Ovis aries: one gene and its partner. The protein of the gene in region 1 purifies or fractionates together with the protein of each later gene. This does not show direct contact. Links are inferred from orthologs where the notes say so. Each region holds a gene or a part of one and is shown in the gene's direction. Other genes may lie near its edges. The genes, in order: MYL6 and IQGAP1.

Region 1 (4,463 bases):
AGCTGAAGTCCCGGCGTGTGGACTTTGAGACTTTCCTGCCCATGCTTCAGGCAGTCGCCAAGTTGCCAGACCGAGGCTCATACCAGGACTACCTGGAGGGGCTTCGGGTGTTTGACAAAGAGCAGAATGGCAAAGTCATGGGAGCTGAGCTCAGACATGTCCTCACCACCCTGGGTGAGACAGGGACCAGAACTCCTGGGGGTGTTGAGAGGAGGGGATGAACTAAGAAGGTTAGCCAAGTAAGCAGAGCCAGTGAGGGATTACTGTCCTATGGGTCATGGGCAGGAGACTGAGAAGGTCAGAGCCTTAGGGACAGGATCTGAAGGTCTTCCTCCTTCAGTCTAAAGTGAGTGGGCTGCAGCTGTCTCCCAAAGGGCAGAGGAAAGGGAACGAGGTGGGAAATCTGAGTTTCAGTCTTAGGAAGAGATGGCTGTACTCTATGATATGGTCTGTTTTTTAATCCTCTGGAATTCAGTTTCCTTGTCTGTCAAAGCTTTCACCACCTATAATTGAGGTGAAATGGAAAGCAAGATTCAGAGACACATTCAAGGCATGCCCACTACAAAGAGGGAATTCTCTTGGGGGACTGTTACTATGGGCAAGTCTCCAGGGTGGGAGAAGAGGAGGTGCCACCAGAAGAAAGAGGCATGGGTTGATAAGGGAGGGAAGGCAGGGGCTAAAACACTGTGTCTGGGCCCAGGAGAGAGGATGACTGAAGAGGAGGTGGAGTCTGTTTTGGCAGGACATGAGGACAGCAGTGGCTGCATCAACTATGAAGGTGAGGGGCCAGAGGAGCAGAAACGACTGGGGAAGAGGGAGGCAGGAGGCCCGAGGTATGTGGGTGGAGGCATCCTGAAGCCTGAATTATCTAAAGTCAGATGGGTTATCATCAGGCCAGCTTCTGAAGCCCCTCTTGCCTCTTCTCTCTGCAGCCTTCCTGAAGCACATCCTAAGCGTCTGAGCAATGCAGGTACGGCACTCTCACTGCGCCTTGGGAGGCAAGCCTCCTTCTTGTCCCTCTGCCTGCGTACAAAAGCAAGGAAGTGCATTTCCGTGTCTTGCTGCGCCGACAGCGGCAGGATTTGGCAACGTTCATCTTTTTCCACAGGTGCAGTGGCGTCGGACGCTGGGCTCCCACCAGGCAAAAGCACGTTCCTGCCACTAGGAGGCTATTGTTTCAAAATAAAGAGACGTTTCCTCCCTTAGCTTCCGACTCTTGCTTTCTTTAGAGGTGGGGGAGGGAAAGGGAGGGCTCCTCTTCCCACCCGCACCCACCAATGCGACCTCCTCTGACTTTCTCGCTGCTCGGAGGAGCAGATTCCTTGCGCCCCATTCCACCTTGTTCTGCAGTTTCTGTGCCCCAGGTAGGGCTATTCTGGAGACTTGAACACCAGTTGGCCCCCGCCCACTTTATTACTAATATAGTAGCGTCATCTGCATAAACCCGGGCCAGGATCCCTATTGGTTGGGTCAGCTGGGGTGACGTCATTAGGACGTACTAAGACTAGGGTTGGGCCAGGAACCGGAGCCATTACTGCAGGAAAAGGTCCCGTAGAGCTGAGCGTCAAGATGGTGGGGCCCGGGGCCGAGAGGATGAGCGGGATTTGGGGCGAAAGGCGGGAAGCCGGGGAGAGGGGGCGGGGAGAAGGCAGAGAGTAGCGGGTAAATGAACCTGAGGCCCTCGAAGGTTGGAGGTGGGGTTGGAGTGTCTGGGATCCTACCCTGCTGGGAAGCGAGTCCCCAGCATGGAATAGGAGTTTGTGATTCAGAGTTCTTGGGACTGGGACGGAAGCTGGGGGTATTGGAGTTAAGATGCTGACCACTCTCGTCTTCTCTGAGCAGTGTGACTTCACCGAGGATCAGACCGCAGGTAGGTAATCGCTGACCTCTGTTGAGGTCATGTTAGGGAGAGGGACACTCCCTCTAGCTCTTTCACCCTCACCTGTCATCTCTTTAGCACCCCCAGGGGAGTACCTGGTGGGTTCCCTTCTCCTTCCTTCTGGATCTTCCATTTTCTTTTCTCACTCTTTCTTCCTCCCTTCCCTTCTACTCTAGATCTGATCCCCAAGCACTGGGTGAGTTTTAGGTGATGTGGCTGTGTGAAACAACTTGATCACTAATGCCTGCTGTGTGTGGGGCTTGGGGACGGTGTATTAAGCTGTTTGTGCTCCTGTGTTCCTTAATCAGCTACTTCTGCCTCTTTTCCTCCTGTGGTAACTACCCTGTCCCCTCAGCTTGGAATTGTAAAGGCTGTAAACAGCAGTGACCTGTTTTTTTGTGAAAGTGCAACAGGGGAGTTTGCTGAGGATACTTCTTTGTAGCAGTACCCTCTGAAAGGACCCTGTACTAGAGGGGTGAGAAGTGGCAGGCTGGGATGACCCCAGTCCCAGGCCGCTGCTCCCACTTCCTTATAAGGACAGGGCCCAGACAGGGCGGTGGCAAATTCCTGCCCTGAGTCGTGTAATGAGGAGGCTGGGCAGGCTTGCTGCAGGCGGAGAGGGTATGTAAGTGGCCGGAACCACTCTGCTAAGCGTTGAGGAAGGCCAGGTCTTTATGTGAGACACCTGAGTTGGGAGGAAGGGACACTGGATCCCTCTTACAGGGGTTGGGTGTACAGTGTTATAAATATCTGATTTCCTCAGCATGATCAAAGTTGAATGGGCGGTGGGGACCATGGAGGAGGGTTTGGGTTAACATCTGTGTGTCCCATACTGATGTTTATCTGGATCCTCAGAGTTCAAGGAGGCCTTCCAGCTGTTTGACCGAACGGGGGATGGCAAGATCCTGTACAGTCAGTGTGGGGACGTGATGAGGGCCCTGGGCCAGAATCCCACCAACGCCGAGGTGCTCAAAGTCCTGGGGAACCCCAAGAGTGATGGTGAGGGTCCTTAAGAACAACTCTGCACTGTGGTGGGGCCCGCAGTCTTCAGCTAATAGCTTCCTTTTATCTTCCTAGGCCCCAAACACGAGCGGGTCTTGTCTGGCAAATCCCACAGATTTCTCCTGCCTGGAGTGGGAGCCCCTTAACCCCCAGTCCTGAGAACACATATGACTTAGCTTCCACCTCCTTTTCGGCAGAGATGAACGTGAAGGTACTGGACTTTGAGCACTTCCTACCCATGCTGCAGACTGTGGCCAAGAACAAGGACCAGGGCACCTATGAGGACTATGTTGAAGGCCTTCGGGTGTTTGACAAGGAAGGGAACGGCACCGTCATGGGTGCTGAGATCCGGCACGTTCTCGTCACACTGGGTGAGGCTCTGCCCTTTCTTCTTGAGGTGCCACCTGAGAGACCTCGGTGTCACCCAAATCCAGAATGCTCGCTCTTCCTTCCTCTCTGCAGGTGAGAAGATGACAGAGGAAGAAGTAGAGATGCTGGTGGCAGGGCATGAGGACAGCAATGGCTGTATCAACTATGAAGGTGAGGGATGAACCGGCGGTCTCACGGAGGAAGCAGCCATATGGGGGCAGGTCATGCACCGCACTGAGGGCTTTCCCTGTCCCTGGATTCAGGCTCCTAAAAGTGACAGGAGGCAAGGGGCAGGGCCCAGCCCCGCCCAGGAATGGGAGGCCAGAGGGGTGTGACAGGAAAGGAAGGGCTCCTGTGGCCTGAAGGGTGGGAAAGGGATGGGAAGTAAAAATGGATGTCCAGTTCCTCACTGCCTGACCCCTTCACCCCACGTCTATGTCTTGTCTTCACCATGAATGTCTCTTCCTTCCTGCAGCGTTTGTGAGGCATATCCTGTCGGGGTGACGGGCCCATGGGGCGGGTACGGCTCCTCCCAGCCCCCCTTCTCTAGTTGACCTCCCCAGTGTTTTTTTCCCCAGCCTCTGCTCTCTAGCCCCTGCCTTCCTCTACTACCATCTGACTTCTTCCCGGCATGCCTCTGCATGGAGCTGACTGGGGAGGGGAGGGGTTCCTCAAAGAGGCAGACAGCCTGGGGGTGTGGCACCTCCTCCTCTCCTAGAACTGGGTCTGAGGTTTGGTTGGCTTCCAGGGTGCTGGTGTCTGGGAACTCACACCAGCCTACCTACCCCCGTCTGGCTTCATGGTGATCCTTTAGCTCAGGATCACGTGGTTGGCAGGGAGGGTGGGTTGCCTGCCCCACCGTGCTGCTGTAGGTCTTCTCTTCTTTCCGCTGGGCAGCTTGGAGATACCCTAACCCAAAACTCTGTCTCCTCCTCCCCCCAGTGGCTGACAGTAGCTGTAGGTGTAGTTGGGAACTCTTCTGCCTCTGCTGTGTTCTTGCTGCTCGGGGTGGGGCAGGGGGAACTAACAGCTGGTGGGAGGGGAGCTGGGGGTCGAGAGTACTGCAAACTGACCCCAAGGTTGGTTGTCGTGGGCACATTCCTTCCTACGCTGCCTTTGTGGTCTGTGGTCTCCTGGCCCCTGGCGGACCCCTCCCCTTCGCCCTGCTTCCTGTTCACCCCCCTCTCCTTTCCACAGAGCTCGTCCGCATGGT
Region 2 (4,488 bases), on another chromosome or scaffold:
ATTGTAATGTTTATTTAACCTAAAGCATACCTGTGTTCAGAGCATGAGTTCTCTTAATGGAAGGTCACAACGGCTACCAGAGCTTGTGATAGTACCCAGAGCTGCTGGCTGGATTTCAAGCAGGAGCCCCACTATCTGTGGACTAGCCTTTATACTAGATTTATCTTTTAAATCAGGCACCCAAATAGTTAATATTTTCAATAAGTCTTCAAAAAAGAGAGGTTGAGTCCTTGGGGCTGGATTTTTAAATTATATTTCATAAATCCAGATAATCTTAATCTTATAGTTATCCTATATTAGACTTTTTGTCAATTAACAGTGCCTAATTCTGCCAATGTAGGAGATGCCCGCTAGGGTCCTGGGTGGGGAAGATCCCCTGGAGGAGGAAATGGAAACTCACTCCAGTATTTTTGCCTGGAGAATTCCATGGACAGAGGAACCTGGTAGGCTACAGTCCATAGGGTCACAAAGAGTCGGACAAGACTGAGCGACTGGGCATACACAATAGGGATTATAACAGGAGCAGGGTCAGGGTTCGGCCGGTTAAAGTTTCTGCGGGATTCATAGGTTAAAATGTCCATTGAAGTGAAGTCACTCAGTCGTGTCCGCCTCTTTGTGACCCCATGGACGGTAACCTACCAGGCTCCGTGGTCCATGGGATTTTCCAGGCAAGAATACTGGAGTAGGTTGCCATTTCCTTCTCCAGGGGATCTTCCCAACCCAGGGATCGAACCTGGATCTCCTGCACTGCAGACAGACGCTTTACCGTCTGAGCCACATTACACAGCCGAAAATACTGAACTGGGGCTTCTAGGAAGTCTGATCTGAGATACAAATTTACGACTCTTCAGCAATTTAAGGTGAACGTGCATAAAGTTATTCAGAAAAAAGTGGGCAAGGGAAAAAACGGAAGAGTGCTGAGGCCAGAATTCCGTTGCATACCAATATTTTAAGGGCAGGCCACAAGTTGCAAGGAGAGGAGGCACTCCTAAAAAGGTAAAGAGTCCCCTAAAAAGAAGAACTTGCAAAAAACAGTGGCAATGAATCTAGCGGGAAGGAGATCTGGACAAACACAACTCTCCTGCTTTAGCATCCACTTCTCAGATACTAGAGGGGTTAAGCAGTTCAACTCCGGCGACAGCTGGCGAAGCTGGGAGACTTGTCTCGACTGCCAGCCTGTGCGGCCCCTTAGGGCAGTCTGGGTCCTGCATGTGTCCACAGGAACACACTGGGCCACTTCAAAGGAGGCCTTCCTTGAGCCCTTTGGTGCAGAAGAGTTTGATTAGGCGGGAAGGGGAACGGAAGATGCCCACGTTTTTTATGTCAGGCTACAGACACTGGCGGCATTTTGATAAGTGGCGCGGATCGGGCGGCGGCCGGGGAGGGCAAAGATCCAGGGCCGGGGCTGGTCTTCTCCGTCCAGAAGAGCTGCCAGCGAGAAGGGTCGGCGGGCAGGCTCCTCCTTCTTCCTTCCGCCTCCAGAGGGCTTTTTGGGTGCAGGGAGGGGGCCGGGGGCGGAGCCGGGAGGCACAGGCCCTGCCTCCTTCCGCCCTCTCCCGTCGGCGCGGCAGGGCGGGGACGCTGGGGCGGGGCCCGCGGGTGGGGCCGGCGGCGCGGGGCGGAGCCTCGGGGACCTGGGCAGCCCGCGCACTGTGCAGTAGCTGCCGCCGCCGCCGCCCGCGCCTCTAAGGTCTCTCCGCTTCCTGAGCAGAGACCCGGGCTCGGCCGCCATGTCCTCCACGGACGAGGTTGACGGACTGGGCGTGGCTCGGCCGCACTATGGCTGTGAGTGTGGGCTCCGCGGCGCAGGGGTCCCGGGGCGGGCTCGCCGTCCCCCCGGCGCCGTTTTCCCGGGGGGCTGGCCTGGCGGGTGGGACAGGGCGGCTGTGGGCCGTGCGGACCCGGAAGAGCCGATGCGACGGGGTGGCGGGTGGCGAGGCTCCCAGCCCGCGCCCCCTCGGTGTCCGAGGCGGCGGGGAGGACCCCGGCCGCCCCCACGCCTGGTCCCGGGCGCTGCGGCCGGAGGGCCCCACCCAGCGCCTCCCGCCGCCCAGCTCGACCGAGATTGGGGAGACGGCCTAGGGTGAGGTGGCAGGAGGACGGTGCAGGGCGTGTCCCGGGAACCGGAGCCCCGAGACGCGGGCTCTGCTCGGGCTTCGCGGGAAGGCGCTGCCCGAGCGCTGCCTGCGGGTACATCCAGGGTCCAGACCTGCCCGGCCCCAGGCTAGCTGAGAGGTGCGGCCCTGGGCAAGTCACTTCAGCTTTCTCGGGCTTAGTTCCCTCGACAGGATTTCAAAAGTGAAGACACAAAAAAGAAAAAAAGAAACATACCTCTGACTTCCTCATTTTCCGAATCTCATTTTCTGTCCCTGTCCTGGGACATCACTGAACTGCAGGTGGAATAGTTACCGCTGGCCAAAGGAGGGCCTTTTGGAGTCTTGAGGTTCCCGATTTTATTTGATATTCTGAGAATAGTGTTTTAGGCTAATTTCACTCGACAGTTCTGTGCCAGGTATTACGTCAAATTTGTGACATTAAAGCTGAGTAAGACCAGACCCTGCTTTCAAAGAACGTTTTAATTAGGGAGGCAGACAGGTGTAACTATCTAATGATAATAAGGAGGGATAGAGATAAAGGTGTCCTGTGAACCAACCAGGCTTAAAAGGTAATGTGGATGAAGAAGAGGGGTTTAGGGAAGGCAGTAGGAACACAGTTGGAACATTTGAACAGAGCCTTGCAGGATGCTGTGCAGTTTGACAGGGCAGGGTGGGGCAAGGCATGAGGGTGAAGCGGAAGAGAGTGAACTAAGTTATGGAAGAGAAGAGCGCTGTGTGTGTTGGCTCCTGAGTTGTGTGGAGTACACAGTAGTGTGGGGGGAAGAGTTAGCAAAAGTAGTTGCCGCTAAATTGGGAAAGGCATTGAATGCCAACCCCAATTAGGCATTTAGCACTTAGGCATTTTTTCTGTTTCCTGGATGCCCAAAAAGAAAGCAGGTTGCTTTGAAGTTAATCTTAGGGGCTTTTGAGACAGACCACCTGGGTTTGAATATAGGCTCCATCATTTATTAGCCTTGGGGCAAAGATCATGGAGCCTCAGTTTCCTCATTTGTAAAACATTTGATAATCACAGGATTGTTGTGGGGCTTCCATGGGAGAATGCATGTAAAAAGCACAGTACAATCACTGCCACTTAGGTCTCAGTGACTGCTGGCTTTAGTGATTAATAAAAAAGTGAAAAAGCACAAAGTGCTCTGGATTGAGAGTCTGGCAGATAGATTAGCGCAAATTTGGACCAAAATCTCAAGTCATATAGTACATATAGTACATGTTCATAATATTGGGGGCTTCCCAGGTTGCTCACCAGGTAGAGTCCACCTGCCAATGTAGGAGACATGGGTTCGATCCTCTGGGTCAGGAAGAGCCCCTGGAGAAGGAAATGGCAACCCATTTCAGTATTATTGCCTAGAGAATCCCATGGACAGAGGAGGCTGGTGGGCTACAGTCCCTGAGGTTGAAAGAGGGACAAGAGGGACAACTTAGCAACTGAACAACTGTAACAACTGTACAATATGTTATTGTATTTAAAAGTAAAATAATATTGTACTTTTAAATAGATACTAAGATGAGTATATAACAGTTGAAAAATGGTTCCTATCTAAGGAAAGTCATTATAGTCCACCTGGCTATCCACACGTTACCCTAACTCTCCAGGTGACCAGCAGGAATTTGATGCTGTGGCATTCTTTGATAGCTCAGGAAGGGTTACAGATTCTTGCGCTTACATTCTTTCTTTCATGTTTTAGCTGTCCTGGATAATGAGAGACTTACTGCAGAGGAGATGGATGAGAGGAGACGTCAGAATGTGGCCTACGAATACCTTTGTCATTTGGAAGAAGCAAAGAGGTAAAGATTGGCTGGAGAGAAGACTGGGAGAAAGGAGCTGATACTGTGTGAACAAAGATAAAGATCTCGTTGAGTATGTAGATGCGACTGTGGGAGGCAGGTTGTTTGAAGGAATAAGTAAGTATAGCTAGGATATTTTTTTCATAGGAGCAAGTAGCCTTGATGGTAGTTTTATCATGAAACAGTCTGATGGGCACTTTTGTTCAGTTTCTAAGTCATGTCCAGTGGGCGCTTACGTATACTGAAAATTTTCCTGGTTTGTGTTGTTCGGTTTTATGCTTATGGTGCATGTTTTGGGCACTACCAGCTATATGGGAGAAAAGCATTTTTAAGGTTTCAAGTTTGGGGCCTTAATGTTTCGCTGGTTCTTTACTAATTTTGCTTTATATGTGAATTGGGTCCGTTTTCCCCTTGGTAGTGCTCTGGGTGTAGCTCCATCCATTTGGCAATATTCAAAGACTGTTTACCAAAGGCAGTGTCATCTGCATTCTTCGTGAAGTTAATGTGCAACTGCTGTTTTCCATTTTCAGATGCTCCAAGACCTTGTGGTCTTAGGGTGTCAATTTACTATCAGTGGTTCATTTCT

Evidence for each region.
Region 2: the proteins of MYL6 (region 1) and IQGAP1 purify together in Homo sapiens (affinity purification with mass spectrometry; 4 studies listed by BioGRID and IntAct, counting the BioPlex papers as one, with this or other methods). This does not show direct contact. The link is inferred for Ovis aries from reciprocal best matches to the Homo sapiens genes MYL6 and IQGAP1.

Annotation. Positions count from the first base shown.
Region 1 is NC_056056.1:163,379,347-163,383,809, reverse strand, and holds the start of MYL6 (myosin light polypeptide 6), read left to right. Parts: upstream 1-1,530; 5' UTR 1,531-1,569; coding exon 1,570-1,572; intron 1,573-1,842; coding exon 1,843-1,870; intron 1,871-2,734; coding exon 2,735-2,878; intron 2,879-3,078; coding exon 3,079-3,252; intron 3,253-3,343; coding exon 3,344-3,421; intron 3,422-3,725; coding exon 3,726-3,754; 3' UTR 3,755-4,447; coding exon of another isoform or gene 4,448-4,463. Other genes in the region: MYL6B (myosin light chain 6B), read left to right, coding at 1-174, 701-778, 933-961. UniProt on the Homo sapiens protein: Regulatory light chain of myosin. Does not bind calcium.
Region 2 is NC_056071.1:21,521,490-21,525,977, reverse strand, and holds the start of IQGAP1 (ras GTPase-activating-like protein IQGAP1), read left to right. Parts: upstream 1-1,629; 5' UTR 1,630-1,730; coding exon 1,731-1,785; intron 1,786-3,802; coding exon 3,803-3,902; intron 3,903-4,488. UniProt on the Homo sapiens protein: Plays a crucial role in regulating the dynamics and assembly of the actin cytoskeleton.